4 linked regions of the Saccharomyces cerevisiae S288C genome follow. The gene in region 2 interacts genetically with the main gene of each other region. Each region holds a gene or a part of one and is shown on either strand. Other genes may lie near its edges.

Evidence for each region.
Region 1: mutations in MGA2 (region 2) and ACE2 together harm fitness more than expected from each alone (negative genetic interaction), as found in Saccharomyces cerevisiae (3 studies listed by BioGRID).
Region 3: of MGA2 (region 2) and PTC2, changing one enhances a phenotype caused by changing the other (phenotypic enhancement), as found in Saccharomyces cerevisiae (2 studies listed by BioGRID, with this or other methods).
Region 4: mutations in MGA2 (region 2) and ASN1 together harm fitness more than expected from each alone (negative genetic interaction), as found in Saccharomyces cerevisiae (2 studies listed by BioGRID).

The regions. Positions count from the first base shown.
Region 1 is NC_001144.5:403,925-408,464, forward strand, and holds ACE2 (DNA-binding transcription factor ACE2), read right to left. Parts: upstream 2,899-4,540; coding exon 586-2,898; downstream 1-585. Other genes in the region: low-affinity Zn(2+) transporter ZRT2, read right to left, coding at 1-138; USB1 (phosphoric diester hydrolase), read right to left, coding at 3,359-4,231; bifunctional choline kinase/ethanolamine kinase CKI1, read left to right, coding at 4,521-4,540. UniProt on the Saccharomyces cerevisiae protein: Plays a role in regulating basal-level expression of CUP1. Activates EGT2 transcription in the absence of SWI5.
Region 2 is NC_001141.2:414,267-419,993, reverse strand, and holds MGA2 (Mga2p), read right to left. Parts: upstream 3,871-5,727; coding exon 529-3,870; downstream 1-528. Other genes in the region: LYS1 (saccharopine dehydrogenase (NAD+, L-lysine-forming)), read left to right, coding at 1-379; DAL3 (ureidoglycolate hydrolase), read left to right, coding at 4,377-4,964; malate synthase DAL7, read left to right, coding at 5,315-5,727.
Region 3 is NC_001137.3:335,443-339,127, forward strand, and holds PTC2 (type 2C protein phosphatase PTC2), read right to left. Parts: upstream 1,899-3,685; coding exon 504-1,898; downstream 1-503. Other genes in the region: anthranilate synthase TRP2, read left to right, coding at 2,507-3,685. UniProt on the Saccharomyces cerevisiae protein: Dephosphorylating regulator for many key proteins. Dephosphorylates the cell cycle master regulator CDC28/cyclin-dependent kinase 1; its activity appears redundant with phosphatase PTC3.
Region 4 is NC_001148.4:820,959-824,898, reverse strand, and holds ASN1 (asparagine synthase (glutamine-hydrolyzing) 1), read right to left. Parts: upstream 2,280-3,940; coding exon 561-2,279; downstream 1-560. Other genes in the region: YPR145C-A (uncharacterized protein), read left to right, coding at 1-209; ribosome biosynthesis protein NOC4, read left to right, coding at 3,476-3,940.

The sequences.
Region 1 (4,540 bases), on a different chromosome or scaffold from region 2:
AATTGGGAAATAAACTCCCAATCCTGACGATATCAGTATAATGAATACTGCCAGAATTCTAAGACCTGCGTGCCCATTGTAGCCGTTAGAAGCTTGGCAAGTATCTACGGAGTCATCCCTCGCTATAAGATCAACCATACTTTCGAATATGCAGTGTCACTTGGAAACGCCTGCAATGTTTTCTTTGGTTGATGCACCGTTGTATTTTCGGAGATCAACTTTAGCTTTCTTCCGGTCTAACCAACAGGGTGTATGATTCAATAAACAGTATCATCATATATAGTGGGTTTTAGATCGTGTCTCCCAAAAGGTTGCGTCATTTAAAATCGTCACACTGTGTTTTACCAAAGGATGTGTGAAGCTGGTTTGTAGTAGTTAAAGGGCAATGTACCCTAAAGGTTGTGAAAAATTTTCATTTTCGAGAAGGAGTCGCATATAACCTTTAGGGTTATGTCCCTATAAACGATGACTATTGCCTTTTTTGGCCCTTAAGACTACAGTGTACGTAAATCGTAAAGAAATAAATGTATTATATTATTGTTACTATTATTTATTATGTTAATATCATGCATAGATAAATGTTCGTCAGAGAGCATCAGTTTCGTTTGAAAGGGTGCGGTTCGAGTTTTGCTCGTGCGCTGCTGTGGATGGGGGTGGATCCAGTAATCCATGTTTGCGCATATCATCTCGCAGCTGTTCCTCCATTTTCATTAGGACGCTCCCATCTTTATCCCGGGCGATAGTTTCTTTTACGGGACTTGTGTCATGCGGGCTGTCAAGCAGGCTTTTTTTGGGAGATGTAAGTTTCTTGTTGATCGAATGTTCTAATTTCTTACCGCCGGTGCAAATCATCCGACTTCTATGCACCATTAGAGCATCCTCCCTATTAAATCTCTTTCCGCATGGGCAGATGTATTTCTTGGCATTATGGGAGATTTTGTGTCTTATTAAATCATGATTGCGAACAAACGCCTTGGTGCAACCGGGAAAGTCGCATGAATACGGTCTATCTTGCAAATGTGTCTGAATATGCGACCTTATGTTGTATCTACGCTTGAATACTTTGTTACAGTTAGGGTATAAGCACTCGAATAGTTTGTCGGGTAGTTCCTTGACGTACTGGTCAATGGTACCCGGAGGCAGAGTAGTTGGTTTCTTGGTTATTTTCATTGGCGTAGTCCTAGGTATTATTTCATCTGGTAAAGGAGACGTACTATGCAAAGTGGGGCTTTTGTGAATATCATGTGTGACAGGTGGTACTTGCGGATAGCTTTCCACTTCACAGTGACTGTTATTTCGTATGGGTGTCTTAATTTCTAACTGATGATCTGTTAAATCCGGTGCATTTAGAAGCGGAGCTAGGTTACTTCCGTTCTTTGGTGGAGCTTTGACGGGAGTATGTTGAAATACATGTTTTTGTGGCAAAGAATTCTTAATTGGAGTGTTATTGCTGGAACCAGGAATAGGAGGTAGTACACTTGATGACGCTAAAGCGTTTGCATTTCTTAATGTTGGGTTCTGGGTATTTCGCATGTGGATGGGTTCAGTGTCATCCTGCAGTTGTGATATTGTCGAGACCGTGGAAACTACGGATTCCCTTTTCTTGTGGATAGGTGACAACTGTGTTCTAGGCGTGAACGTGCCAGCAGCATATCGATCATCCCTGCTTTTATCTGTGCCGACGAGGAAGGGCGATCTCAAACTATTTCCATTTATCCTTGGAGAGATACTTAGCCCACCCGGGGAAGTCTTTTCGAACAGACGGAATATGTTATCACCAGTACTATTTTTTTTATCATTATTGTTTTTATCACTGGTGTTATTATGGTCATTATAAGTCAAGCCGTCCAAGTTTAAATTATAATTTTGTGGAGAAAATGAAAGCAGTTCAGAATCTCTCAAATAACCACTGTTAGAGGAAAAAAGGTTCAATCCATTACTTTCTGGGCTTTTATTTGGATATCGTTGCCTATGGTATTTCCTGGATGGTGAACCATTTATTGAAGTATTTGACATCCGAGGCGATATTAACGTCGGAGGAGGAAATTGATATCCGCCATTTGCAGAGTTCGTTGTGACGATTATAGCATTATCTTTCATTCTACCGTTTTGCATGGCAGGTGTCTTTAGTATTACTGGAGATCCAGGTTTGGAATTAGAATTTGTAGCCCCAGAAACCAACTTCTGCGCCACCTCTTCTTGCTCTTCTAATACTTTACGCAACTTTTCTTGCTGTATTTGATTGTCTCTCAACTGCTTCTCCAATTTTTCGTTCACTTCCTTTTGTTTTTCAAGAGCAATTCTTAACTCCTCCTGCTGTTTCAACAAAACTTGGCTCAAATAGCTATTTTCACCATCATTTTCCCTTATATGGTCAAAGTCATCATTGTTATTTTTTACCGTATTATGATTACCCAATTCATTTATGAGTTCCATGGGTTGCGGATCTTTAGACATATTTAGAATGGATTGCTGTAAACTGGAAATACTCAATGTCTTATTATGGCCGAGAAATCCAAATATCGCTGTGCCACTTAGACCTCTCTTGTGTGAGGACATTGATTTTTTGCTATAGTGGGAGACTTTGTTGTTTTCATCACCAAGGTTCCAAGTTCTATCAATATTCTTTTTATCAGAAGAACCATCGCCCGTCTTAGGAGAAGGCACTAAAGGAATATCCAGATCTCTTAACTCTTGAGTCAACAGGTCATCGATGTTATAGTAGTCCATACCTAACAAGTTATCGAGGCCATCATCGTTTTCATTATTCAAAATATAATTGTCGGGTGGGGGTATGGTAGGATTGACATTATCATGATGTTGAACATACTCCTCATCTTGAGTGTCTTTCGCGAAGCCTGAGGGATTTATATACCACGGATCTACAACGTTATCCATGATTGTATTAACACCGTTTTTGGTCCTATAGATTTCTTTAGTTATTTCTTGAATTTATGCCTTGTATTTTTTTCTTCTAGCACTTTAACTGTTGCTTGAGTCTCCCTGCAACGTAGCTTTTGTTTGCTAGGTACAATGCCGAGAGAGGTTGTTATAAGTTTATGTGTACTATAAAACCCTTAATGAAAGAAAAGGGACAGAAATATTGCGAGTAAACAAACAGTACTCCCTCCTTAATATTTGCCCGTTAATGGCTAAATGCTTTCTGGAGTTGATTTACTAGCTACAAGCATCCTTATCCTTTACCTGTAAACCAAAAGTGTCCTGAAATTTTCCCAAAGTGCCAATGTTTACATTTTGCCGTTTTGAGATATATATCGTATATTATGACAACCTTCACCTATCTGACGAGCCGCTCTCAGTGCCCCGGTATTTTTGGGCGGCTATTCCTATAACACTATTAGTTAAAAGGGATTCTAATGGAGTGACGGTTTTCATCACAATAGATAGAGTTAACTAAGAACTCTAGTTTGTATGCAAAGTCATTATTGAGTAGTAAAAGCGCCCCCATCGTCTCGTTTAATTGTTGATAACGTTTTAATGTGGCTTTTGAAGGGTTGCTAGCGATGGCAATTGAAACATGTAAATTTTGCCTACTTACAATTAAATCCTGATAGTTTGAAATGCCTGATTTCTGAAGTGCCTCAGCTATTATCGTTTTGAAAGGAGAAATTTGTGCCTTATTGGGACATTCTGAGACAGGGAGACCGAGGTACAAGGTGTTGGCTCGTTCTGATATATATAACTTCGGATATGAGCAGATTTGAAGTTTAAAAGGGGTTATTTCATTATTTCGTAAACCATTACGCATTTCTTGAATGAAAACATGTCTTTGTTCTTCAGTTTCAAACAACAACGATCGAGTTAAGGAAACGTGTAAAGGTTTGGGGGCTCCCAAGTGTGAGATGAACAACGGGTCAAAATCCACCAGTTGATACGGATTAGTGTATTCCTGTTTCATAAATGTTTCTTTATATTTACATATGATTTTCTGAAGTTGTCGGTGAATCGCTGGAGTCGGACGCCACTCAAAATATGTGAACGAACGCCAAAATCGACTCATATTCATATCCTGGTGCTCGTACTTTTGTAAATTCGGAGGGATGTGGTACTTCAATATAATTGAATCCGGTATTGCAGGTAAATCAGTGGAATCGGCTTTCTGTATGCAAGTTTTCTCCGTGTATTCGATTTGGACCTCACTTTTGTTACTACTTTCGCTCTCGGTATCACTACCGTCACTGCTAGAATAGTCTGCAGATATGAATTCCATAGGCCAGTCTTCTTCTAAGCGATTGGTAACCTCCTTCACTTTAGAACACCACCAACAGATCGTTCTCTTGTTCTTTGTTCTTTATGGTATAATATTCACATGGTGCTCTACCGTTTTTCTTGTCGGCCCAGCCGGTTAAATCTCGAAGAGACAGAATAGAAGCTCTGTGGCTGTAAGTAAGGATAAGCCAAATGGAAAAGTTATAGAATTAGGACAACAATATACAGTTTTTTTTTGTACTCTTATAGAATACACACACATAGATACGCACGTAAAATTAGAGCAAAAGATGGTACAAGAATCACGTCC
Region 2 (5,727 bases):
TTGTATATATCTATCGAAGCCAATTGCTCCTTTCACTAACATGGAGAAACTGAATAATCCTAACAGAAGACTAAGGACCGTGGTGGACGTATCAGCAGACACTACCAACCCTCACAACCCCATCCCAATATACACTGTGGCTACTGTGTTTAACAAACCTACCGTTCTGGTACCTACCACTGCCGGGCCTAAATTATCTGTCATCTCTATTGATCACTTGCCTTCTTTGCTGCCAAGAGAAGCTTCAGAATTTTTCTCTCATGATCTCTTACCATCTTTAGAGCTCCTACCTCAAAGAAAAACTGCTCCTGTCTGGGTTAGAGCCAAGAAATTGTTCGATAGACATTGCGCTCGTGTTAAAAGATCTTCAAGATTGTAGTTTACATTTAAAGTATATACATTATCGTTACGCTGACATTTACAAGTTTAATTTTTTTTTGACTTTTTTTAAATGACTTTCTCTTCTTTTAAGTGTACTGTCTTTTCATTATACACACATATATATATATATATACGTAAAAAAGCAGACTAACTGACAATTAAATCGTTCAACATTCTTGTTGTTTGCAGGTTTGATAATTTTGACCTGAATGCAGTTTTCATCCTTTCATTTCCCAGCAAGAACTTTGCTAATGCAATTCTCAAGTACTCTGAGATTAATTCGCTTATATGATTGATGGAACTATCTTGGTTGCCAAATTTGTACATGATGAACCATGTCAAAAGTAGTAGTGTTAAGGGTATCCAGAAAAATATTAACATTTTATCATTTCGGAAGTTTTGTTTGTTTTGGAAGAATCTGTTAAACTGTTTTTTCAAAAATTCTTCCTCTTCCTCATAATCCTCTTCCTCCGAATTTTCAGAGTTTTCAATATTAGATGCTGACTGCTCCACAATACTGTCTTGATTTGTGGTTTTCAATTTATCATCTTTACCCCAAGACAACGGGAACAGATCCTCATATTTTGGTAAGTCATCATTAATTCGATGTAAAACTCTATTCCAGAGAGATGTACTACCATTATCCTCTTCGGGTTCGTTGGCGCTAGATCCAATATCAAGGAGTTCGCTTTGTTCCTCCCTGCATGCAACACCTGGTTTTTCTACTTCGTCAGTGACGAACAGATCTTCATCCCCGTCTTCTTCGAAATCACTTTGGTCGTACTCAGAGTAACTTGAATTCTCAAATAGTTGCAAGGTTGGATGCTGAATCTCCATAGAAGTGGGATTTATCATGCTTTGGCTTTCGAATAAGTTCTCATTCAAAGATTCATTGTCTAGCAGGCTTGAATTGAAACTGGATTGTGAATATTTCCTGCTAATAGAATAATTACTGTCTGTTTCTACACTATCGGTAAACTTCGTACCGTTTTGGAATTCTTCAAACAATGACAATACTTCGCTGATATAAGTGTCATTATGAACAAACTTATGGTTGTCTCTGTTATCTTGTTTTTTGTCTATTTCCTTTGAATGAATGTGGTTTGCTATGAATACTTCTCTTGCAGTTAATCCGTTGTGTGACCTCAGTGAATAATTTACTTTACAATTTAAAAGCATCTTAATAATTTTAGGGTCACCACTTATGCAAGCAAAATGTAATGGAGTTAGCCCAAAGGAATCAATATCGTTAACACGAGCACCCTTTTTAATCAATGTATACACAAGGCTTGAGTAATTTTTCAAACAGGCAAGATGTAATAAAGTTCTCCCTAATGAATCACATATGGAAATATTGGAATTTATGTTCAATGATTTTATAACTTTTTGTATCAAGACTTCATCGGAGTAAAGAACACTTGTGTTCAGATTCATACTGTGTTGGTTTGGAGAGGGACCTGTGCTTTTTGAACAGCTGTTGCCATTTGTACCGCTATCAGGAGAATCATTGCCAACAATCCTCTTCGCGATATTTCTTGCATCTTCTAACTTACCATTCATTTTTAATCCCACAATTTGCAAAGCCAATTCAATCAGTTGCCTATCAGTATCATCAACATAGGTAAATATGGCCTTTTTATTGTCATTGATCTCAATTTCTTGGGGAAGGTCATCGTTATTATTTTCATTATTCGTATCAGTAATAGAGACGAAAACTTGACCCGCGTAGGCAGCGGGAGGGAGATAAGTGACGATCGTGGTCTCACTCCAGCATTGCGTAGAAAGGGCAAGATTAGAGCCGAACTTTACAGAAAGACCATCTTTGAAGTTACAACCCAGTAATGTAACTTCGATACCACCATTGATTGGGCCTTGTGAAGGTATAACGCGATTAATTGATGGCAAATTATTGTTGTTGTTTTTCATTGAGAAATCTTGCATTGAATGTAAAGCTGGATTCATCGTATTTGTTGCACTGATTGAATTTGAAAAGGAATGCTTGAATAGGGGTTTACCAATGTCATTTTCCAAATTATTGCGTGCTCTTTTCCGTTGGTTCAATTGACTCTGTTGTTCAATATTTGTCAAAGAGATAGTACGGACGGGATTGTCATTATCGCGATGATGATAGTTAAATGATTCTGAGCCTTCTTCGCTCATAGATGTTGGTGATGGAATATGCTGATTGGGCAGAGAAAGGTTCAGTGATAAGTTATTGTTCTGAAGCAAATCTGTCTGTTGAGAGATGGAATATGGGAATGGTACGTTTTTGTCTTTCAGTGGAATATTATTCATTTGACTGTCATTATCATATGGGTTGTGTTGATAAGTATATTGAAATGGCATATTTTCGTCTTTGCTCAATTGGTTGTTATCCGTTGAATAATATTCTGTGGTAGATTCTTCTTCCGTTAGCTGCCTTCTGGACGAGGTAGTAGTGTTATTAAACTTGGTGGTATCCATATTTGCTGGTTTTCTATCCGTGATCATAATAGGTGTTGTCGTAAACTTACCCAACAGTCTATTTTGCCAATCTGTTATAGTGAATAATATGACAAAGCCATTATTTGCCTTATGGTGCCTGCAATAACAAACTAGCCTGGTAGTTAATTCAAACTCCTTAACATTATCGAAAGTTTTCATTATGGGGAAAACCTGTTTGTTATTGAACACGACTAACCTTCTATTAATATTATTACACCAGAGTAAATTGTCTGCAATACCTGATTTCCTTCTAGCGGCTCTTCTTTGTTCTCGCTTAACACACTTGGTACAAACATTTGTCGTTCTGTTGCTGACCGCACATAGAACAAACGCATTGATGTACAGAAGATTTTTCTTGAAGTCTTCTGAAAAATCCTCGATATTTTTTTTTAAATAAAACTTTTCTCTTGAAATGGAATCGCTAGGCAAGTAAAGCATGCTTTGGTTTAGTGGTGTTTCAGACGTAATTTTCACTTTCAGTTTCAGTTGATTTTCCACTCTAGATACTTGTGGCAAACCTGAGACCTCTACATCCAAAGGTAGCTGCGCTGCGTTCACTTTAAGGTAATCTAAAGGATTTATGTAAACAGATTGAATCGTCTCCTTTCTTCCAAATACAATCTCGTCATGAGCAGGGTTGCCTATATTTTTTTCATTAAAAACCTTATTTTCATGCTCGTCCTCTTCTTCCTCCTTCAAGGCTCTGTTACTTTCCATTTCCTCCTCCAGTGGAGTGGACACGTTTTGGTTGACATGAGTATTGTTACCGATACCTTCGAAAGACAACAGGTTGGGCGAATCACCCTCATCTGTCTTGATAAAATTTTGGAAATTAGCACCCTCATCAATATTAATATGCGCCATGCTATCATCCTGGTACATGGGAGACCCGTTCAGGAGGAAATCGTCCAAGAGCTGTGATTCCATTACGCTATTCGCGTGCAATTGAGATATATGAGGGTCGCTTCCAGGTGTTTCCGTTAAGAACTCACTGTTCTGCTGCATAACGAAATGTTCTGTTCGCCAAAATGACCTTCAATAAGTGCCTTTAAATGCACAATAAGGGGGGGAAGCAGGATCTAGTCTTAACGACCCCAAGAACGACTGTTGATCAAGCGCCGCTGTCCTTTTAAAAGGCTTTCGGCGGCTGTATTTTCTGGTTTAGAGCTCACCCATTTGAAAATGTTGAGTTTTTTGTCATGATCCACGATATAAAAAGAAATACGACATTTCTAGGGTAACATCAGAATGCCCTTGCTTTTATTGTTAGGGTTATTTTCAAAAGTAGAATTTTGGAAATAAGTCCTAGCCTTTTTGTAACACTAACCCTGAGACAAAGTGCCAGATAAGATAAGATGGATTGGCAAATAAATGGGGAAAGATAAGCGAGGTAAGACTGATAAGAAGCATATGCGGTCTATTCATGTGCATTCGCATATATAAGTCAGTAACTGTCATCCAATCGCTCTTGATGCTTATCTTGTAGGGCAAAAAATCTTTGAAGCAAAGATATGGTGACCGTGGTGGCGGAGACATTGACGAAAGAGTCCTTCGAGGAGTATGGGACGATAATTTCGCCAGATGAAGAGATTTCAAGGATGCAAAACCTTGAAAAAGGTGCAAACCAGGGAACAGCGATCAAATTGCTTCAAGTAAGCCAGGTAGAGAATAAATCTACCAGTAAAGTTCCCAATTGGAACCTATTCCGTTGCTTTCCACAGCCGCACCTGAATAGAGTATTCACTCAAGGCTCCAATCAGGCGATTTCTCATTCTATCAAAGTCCTCGAAAAGCATCCGTGTAGTACGCAGACGTTTGTGCCTATGGGGAGAACGTCAGCGGAAGTAGCATACTTGGTAGTAGTCGCTAAAGAAATTGGAAATAAGCCAGACTTGTCTACGTTGAGGGCTTTTACATGTTTGGGTAATCAGGCCGTTACCTATGGCTTAGGTACCTGGCATGCGCCCATGATAGTACTTGGCAAGGAAGAACATTTGGATTTTTCAGTCTTAATCTACGAAAGTCTGGACCCTGACAGGCCCGAGAAGGACTGTGTGGAAGAACACTACAGCGATGGCGACGTTTGTATTATCATCTAATTCTGCGACTGTGGGCGAAGTAAATATGTAAATGTTCATGTATTAGTAATTTCATAGGTTTACGATTATCGACATAAAATCTCCGCTGAAAGTTGCGGTGCGATAGAATACCGCGGATTTTGGAAAATTGCGTTTGCTTTTCTTATCACATAAATTGAATTTCATAAGTTTTGGCTTATCTTGGATAAGGTACATCGTGAAAGTATCACAAAGATTGGATAGTTTCGTCAATTGGTGAAGCAATAAGTATAAAATGGGGACATTTACGCATGTAGTCTTAATTCTTCACTTTCTGTGCAGTTGATATCACTTAGAGTATGTGTCATAGGCACGGTAAAGAGCACTGAACAATGGTGAAGATAAGCTTGGACAACACTGCTCTATACGCAGACATCGACACGACTCCTCAATTTGAACCTTCCAAAACTACTGTAGCTGATATTTTAACAAAAGATGCCTTAGAGTTCATTGTTTTGCTGCATAGAACTTTCAATTCAACACGGAAACAGCTTTTAGCCAACAGAAGCAATTTACAATCAAAGTTAGACTCTGGTGAATACCGATTTGATTTCTTGCCGGAAACCGAACAAATCAGGAACGATCCTACATGGCAAGGTGCTATCCCAGCCCCTGGTTTGATCAACAGATCCAGCGAGATTACTGGGCCACCATTGAGAAATATGTTAGTCAACGCTTTGAATGCTGAAGTAACGACATATATGACTGATTTCGAGGACTCTTCATCTCCAACTTGGGAGAACAT
Region 3 (3,685 bases), on a different chromosome or scaffold from region 2:
CCGTCTTGTCGAGGCTGTCGGAGAAAAGAGTAGCACACACGACGATAACAATAGATACGGTAGATTGGATGGGGCACAGATGTGCAAGGCAATGCGCGAATCCTGTCTACGATGTCTGTACCGTCCATCCTTTCTCCTTTGCATCGGAAACATCCGCGCTGTCTACCTTAGGAGGACCTCATGGGACGGGCGCTGGGGACTCGTGCCCATCCGGGACTGGGGGTGAGATTTCACAACGGGGCCGCTGCTGGTCTCACCCTCTGGCCGGGCCGGTCCGTTTTTGTGGCGTCGCTGCAGGTAAACGCGCAGTTTCTGCGCGTTTACCCCTGAGGTGAATACCATCTTCAAGCGTCAAACTGCATCCGGATATCCTGCTGTTGGTAGCGATGGTGGTGGTAGTGGTGTATGCTCTTGGTTCTGGTGGTGTCTTGCGTCTTCTCTTCTCTTTCTGTTCGTTCGGTTCGTATATAGGTATGTATATATAATGAAGGATGGAAGATCCTTCATTGCAAGTGGGAACGGCCGGCCTTGTGGTCAGTGTTACTGTCATTCTCGGGATGGGAGGAAGCCGGGTCATGGCCCATGGTTTGGAGCAGTTGGGCCAAGGCAGACTGGGGAAGAGTGTAGGTGACTTTGTTCCCGTTGCTGTCTGTCTTCACTCCTCCTGTAGCACCAAGTAGCGCCTCCAAGGATGCTAGATCAATGGGGCCGGAGGTCTTGCTCTTGGATTGGCTGGAAGGGTCAAGATTTTCTGCATCTGTGTCAGCGTCCGTGTCGTCTATGTCCATTGGATCGTCGTTATCGGCGGCAGTCACCGAGGCCACAGCGGCTTCGTGGTCGCGAGTGAATTTGTCCTGAGGTTTCTTCGTAGTGATAGCGAACACCTGTTCGTCGTTACATTTGGAAAAATCGTAGTAACTAAACACCCTTCTTCTCTTGTCTGCAAAAGAACGCACTGATGTGCGGTGGGCCTTGGACTTCATACGGTCGCTCCATTGAGCGACGTCTTCACCTTCTTTCAGCAGCGCGACAACCACTATACTCATGTTGTCGCATCCAATACCCGTCCCCTCTGTGGTGGGAGCACAACAGACATCGATGATCCGCGAAGAAATTTCATTCAATGTCTTGCCTTCGCGAAGGCCGAGATGAACCAAGTCCACACAATCTTGGGAAGTCAAACAATCCCAGATACCATCACAGGCTAAGATTACAAACTCGTCCCTATCGTAATCTAGAGAATGCTCGAGAATGTCCGGAACACATGTCACTATTTGCTCCTCGGGGCCCAATTTGGGGTTGGATTTGAACTCAAAATCACCAATGGCACGAGAGAGCGCCAAGTTACCGTTGACCCTATCCATTTCTACGAAGCCATCAGCTGCCACAATACGTGATTTTTCGCTTGCTAGAGTGGGCTTGTGATCGTATGATAATGCCTTTGCGTTCCCGTCGGTGGCGAGTACGGTTCTACTGTCACCAGCGTTACCACATACTAACAAGTTCTGGGACTTTGATACTAATATGGATGTAGCCGTACATCCGCTATGGTCTTCTTTCATCACAGGATCTTGTAACAGTTTCACGTCTGTGTTTATGAAAGTATCAATCAAAGCCCTTGGTAAATTTCCTTCATGGAACGATTTCTGCTCTTGCAGGATCTCCACTATTTTATTACCACAGTATTCTGCTACTTTAGCGCCACCATGACCATCGAATATACCGTAAAATGCAATATGGTCCTTATCGGACTTTGTCAAAACATTAGGCTCTAGAATGTGTGAATCCTCCATTGACATCCGCCACCCTTGCATTGCACACAGTCCAAACGCGGTCAAGGAGTCAGCACCGGAGTGGCTCTCTTTATCAATTACCGGGTTTGATAGAATTTGTCCCATTTTTCTTTTTCTGGTTCTCTATATTTTATACAACAATGGAATAGTCAAAATCCTAGGGATGTTATTAATCGGAAAACTACTATCTCGAACGAATAGTTATAATTAATCAATGAAAAAAAAAAAGAGAAAGTAAAAAATGTTACAACAACTAATATACACTAATTGTCCTTGATAACAGAACTTGTTGTAGTTTTATTCCGTGGGGAGGAGGGTGAATTTTTTTTATTTAGTTTTAAAGAACAAAACAGAAGTCTATATACTTAGCACTATAATATCCAGTTTCAATTTGCTCTGTCAGAATCCGAATTGGCTGGTTTTCTTTGTTTTACCATCCCCTTCCATTTATCAGCATGATATTTTTTTTTTTAGAATAATCCTTTCAATCGTTGAAGTAGTTTGTGGGAAAAAAAAAGTTGTTAAAGGCATTAACGTACACAGTGATTTGCTGACTCATTACGATTTTTCACTCATCGAAGTATTGTTAGATTTTGATATATTAACATGACTAAAGGGCTATGGTCCATCGTAGCAGAAGGCAATCATCACTTTAAAACCGAGGCCACAATCGATAATTAGCACTGATATTCTGATTGGAAAAAAGGCAAAAAATGACCGCTTCCATCAAAATTCAACCGGATATTGACTCTCTAAAGCAATTACAGCAGCAAAATGACGATAGTTCCATAAATATGTATCCCGTGTATGCGTATTTGCCATCATTGGATCTGACTCCTCACGTGGCATATCTAAAATTGGCACAATTGAACAACCCTGATAGAAAGGAATCATTTCTGTTGGAAAGTGCTAAGACAAATAATGAATTAGATCGTTATTCATTCATAGGTATCTCGCCACGCAAGACCATCAAAACCGGTCCTACTGAAGGCATTGAAACAGATCCTTTGGAAATTTTGGAAAAGGAGATGTCTACCTTTAAAGTAGCCGAAAATGTTCCTGGTTTACCGAAATTAAGTGGTGGTGCTATTGGTTATATTTCTTATGACTGTGTTCGTTATTTCGAGCCAAAAACAAGAAGGCCTTTGAAAGATGTCCTAAGACTTCCAGAGGCATATTTAATGCTTTGTGATACCATTATTGCCTTTGATAATGTTTTTCAGAGATTTCAAATCATTCATAACATTAATACCAATGAAACTTCGTTGGAGGAAGGTTACCAAGCTGCAGCACAAATAATCACTGATATCGTATCAAAGCTAACCGACGATTCCTCGCCAATACCATATCCAGAACAACCTCCTATTAAATTGAATCAAACTTTTGAATCGAATGTGGGCAAGGAAGGTTACGAAAATCACGTCTCCACTTTGAAGAAGCATATTAAGAAAGGTGATATTATTCAAGGTGTGCCATCGCAAAGAGTGGCAAGGCCAACTTCGTTACATCCTTTCAATATTTACAGACATTTACGTACAGTGAACCCATCTCCTTACCTGTTTTATATTGATTGTTTGGATTTCCAAATCATTGGTGCATCTCCAGAATTGTTGTGCAAATCGGATTCCAAAAATAGAGTCATTACCCATCCAATTGCTGGTACTGTCAAACGTGGGGCTACTACTGAAGAGGATGATGCTTTAGCGGACCAATTACGTGGCTCGTTAAAAGACCGTGCAGAACATGTTATGCTGGTAGATTTAGCAAGAAACGATATTAACAGAATTTGTGACCCATTAACAACAAGTGTCGATAAACTGTTAACTATTCAAAAATTTTCTCATGTCCAACATCTGGTTTCTCAAGTCAGCGGTGTTCTCCGCCCAGAAAAG
Region 4 (3,940 bases), on a different chromosome or scaffold from region 2:
TAATATTTAAGAAAAGTGATAGTCAATATCCGCAAAACTATCGAGCGGAAATTAAATCAAGAAATAAGAATACAGTAATAACAAGGCACGATCTACTAATTGCACACGAAATGAAACAAAGGGCGTCGCTAGAGAGGAGCAATTCGATTAGGAATCTTCAGTCACAAGGTAAAAGGAGATCAGATTCAAAAGAATCTCGAAAATTGTAAGAAACGACATAAAAGAAGGGTGAAAAGGAGGGCATGCACTGTCTCCATCATTTTTAAGATTATTGGGTCTCAAGGAAGGAGGATGTATAATAGGAAATATCAAAGTCAAGAATAATGTTTCAAAATGATTTGCATCAAGATCGTTCGATACGCATATATACAGTCATCCACACACTTAATTTTTTAGCACTGGCGATAAAAAATGATTTATGAATAAAACTTCATCAAACTATTATGAAAAATATGTATTTCTATATTCTATTTATTATTATTATTATTGTTAGTGTTTGTTTTTCTATAAAAATATCTATAAGATTAATCCATAATTCTTTTTCTATTTTTTAATGTTATTTATTCGATATGTTTTTCATGAATTTGGGCATATCTACCAGAAGGATCTTCAGCACAACCCCAGTCGGCCTTTGGAATCCATCTCATAACGGTGTCAGCCACGGTCTTTTGAGGGAACAAAGCATCGAATTTTAGTCTGTACCAGAAAGCCTCTTTTGTGGTTGGAATGTCACTACCCCATTCGGCCTTTGGACTGGCAAACATTTCATCTGAAATGACTGCTTCGGCGGTATCTTTTAATCCGTCGATCCAGGAGTAACCAACACCGTCGGAAAATTGTTCTTTTTGTCTCCATAAAATTTCTTCTGGTAAATATGGCTTAGCATCTGGTTCTCCTGTGGTGTCGAATGCCTTCCTTAGAATGTACTTTTCAATACGTCCTTCCTTTGGTTTAATCATCTTTTCATTTGGATCGATGTTCATACACAATTGCAAAAATTCTCTGTCTAAGAATGGAACACGAGCTTCTAGACCCCAAGCCATCGTAGACTTGTTAGCTCTCAAACAATCTGCCAAATGCAAGTTCTTGACACGTTGCACGGATTCAGTGTGAAATTCTGCCGCAGAAGGAGCTTGTGCGAAATATAGATAACCACCGAAGATTTCATCGGAACCTTCACCGGAAAGAACCATCTTGACCCCTTGGGCCTTAATCTTTCTGGATAGTAAGAACATTGGAGTGGAAGCTCTGATAGTGGTAACGTCGTAAGTTTCCAAATGGTAGATCACGTCGTCCAAAGCATCCAAACCTTCTTGTAATGTAAAGGTGTGTTCATGATGAATAGAGCCGATGAATTTGGCAACCTTTCTTGCGGCTTGCAAATCTGGAGCATTTGGTAAACCGATGGCAAAGGAATGGAGACTTGTCCAACCAGCAGTGTGTAGCTTACCGTCATCGTCGATACCTGCTAGATGTCTTGCCTTACTATCGTAAGTTGATGGTTCGACATCGTTAGTGGCCTTTGCAGTTTCACGGGCAGCAATGGAAGCGATTAAAGAGGAGTCCAAACCACCCGACAATAGAACACCGTATGGGACTTCGGCCATTAATCTCTTTCTAACGGCTTTTTCTAAGGAGTGTCTAATTGCCATGTAATCTATTGGGGTGGAAGGAATGCGTTTTTCGTCCAGCCAATCTGGTGTGAAGTAACGGGTGATCTTGTCAGTCTTAGAATCGTATACGTGGCCCGGTGGGAATGCAGTGATAGTGTCACAGTCGTCAGTCAAACATTTTAGTTCGGATGCAAAATAAACGGTCTTTGGAGAAGCGGAAGAGCGTCCCATATATAATGTCGTAATACCGATTGGGTCTCTGGCTGCCACAATACGATCTTGTTTAGCGTCGTAAAGAGTCCAAGCAAACATACCATCCAAGTACTTAGGAGCGTCGATATCGTGCTTTAAGTACATTGGGATGATAGGCTCACAGTCACTCAGTGTTCCAAACTCGTAGTCTGCGCATTCTTCTCTTAATTGAATGTGGTTGTAGATTTCACCGTTAACACATAGCATGTACTCTCCGTCTGAAGAAGTAATTGGTTGAGCACCGGATTCCACACCGACAATGGCTAGTCTTTCATGAACAAATATAGTGGAGTTCTTGATAGCATTACCGGACCAATCTGGACCACGGTGTCTGATTCTTTTTGATAGTTGTAGAGCCTTTGGCTTATATCTATGCACGTCTTCGTGCCTGAAAGCGGCGAAAATACCACACATCTTAAGTTACGTCCGATTTATATCCTTAGCGTAAAGCAAGTTATACTTTTTCTTATTTTATTATGTAAAGGTAAGAAGAGTATGCGATCAGGGTCCAAACAGAATCTGTCTCCTAGTGGCGTTCACTATAGGGTTATATATGCGTATCTATAAATGCGCATAAATTCAAGAACGAACTATTTGTCATCTCGAGTGGGCAGCAAATTTTCAGTTTACAGAATGAGTCAAATGTTACATGAGTTAAGGCTCTTTTCCTTGTGCTCTCTCTCTCTGTCTGAGCCTGCCAAATGATAACAGTCATAGGCCCTGTACCTAATTTGCCGTCCACGGCAGCAGTACTGCTGCCGTGTGATTGGTGGATAGATAGTGCCAGCGATAAGAAACGGTAGTTGATGCCCGAAGGTGCTTTCCAGCGCAGAAAGACAGACCCCAGGCGTATTTGCGCTCACGTTGCACGAACACGGGCGGCATTCGTGATGACAATAGATTTAATTTAGATATGCACTGGTTTCCACAGAGACCAATCGACAGTCTTCCATGCAAGGTCACTTATTGTTAACGGCAAGTTTCCCTGGATGTCCGCTTTAAAACTGTTTCGGCACGGTTTAAAGGACACAAGTTTTGACTAGTCTACAATTTAAGAACATATAAAAAGCTACTTGTGTACAGATGAGATGACTACTCCCAAGTCAAAAACAACAAAAGAATGAAAGAAAAAAGAATCAGAATTTTATAAAAGCGTCCTTGTCATTCTTAAGAATGTAACAAGATCAATGGGTTGCGCAGGAACCGCTATCTCCATTAAAACCTCAGATCGCTCCGAGAAGAATTGTTCGATTTGAAACGCAAATAATATCATCGTATTCTTTTAAAAACTTGGAAGGTCATTGGTTTCTTTAAATGAAACCTCCAAAGAAAATCTAACGCGTCTTGGTAAAATATATGTACCGAGTGTTTCGCTTTTTATACCTGTTAAATGAAAATCGAAAAAAAAGAAAAAGAAAAAAGTTTTTCAGCACTTCTCTACGGGTAATCCTCGTATTTGAAGGTTTAGGGCTATTCTTGAAATTTTTCACTAAAATTTTCCAACTGAGAAAAAAAAAAGTGTATTACGGTTTTGATGAGATGAGATGAGATGTAATTATCATCCTCTATTGCCATGAAGAGAGATCTATTAAAAAGAAACGTCAAAGAATATGGTATTGCTTATATCAGAAATTAAAGATATTGCCAAGAGGCTGACTGCTGCGGGTGACAGAAAGCAGTACAACTCCATTATCAAGTTAATCAATGAACTAGTGATTCCAGAAAATGTTACTCAATTGGAAGAAGATGAGACAGAAAAAAATTTGAGATTTCTGGTTATGTCGCTATTCCAGATATTTAGAAAGCTGTTTTCCCGCGGCGACTTGACCCTTCCTTCGTCCAAAAAGAGCACATTAGAGAAGGAACAGTTTGTTAATTGGTGTAGAAAGGTGTATGAAGCGTTCAAGACGAAGCTGTTAGCTATCATTTCGGACATACCTTTCGAAACATCACTTGGGTTAGATTCGCTTGATGTCTATCTTCAACTTGCAGAGCTGGAATCAACTCATTTTGCATCTGAAAAGGGCGCACCATTTTTCCCCAATAAAACATTCAGAAAGTTAATCATCGCCCTA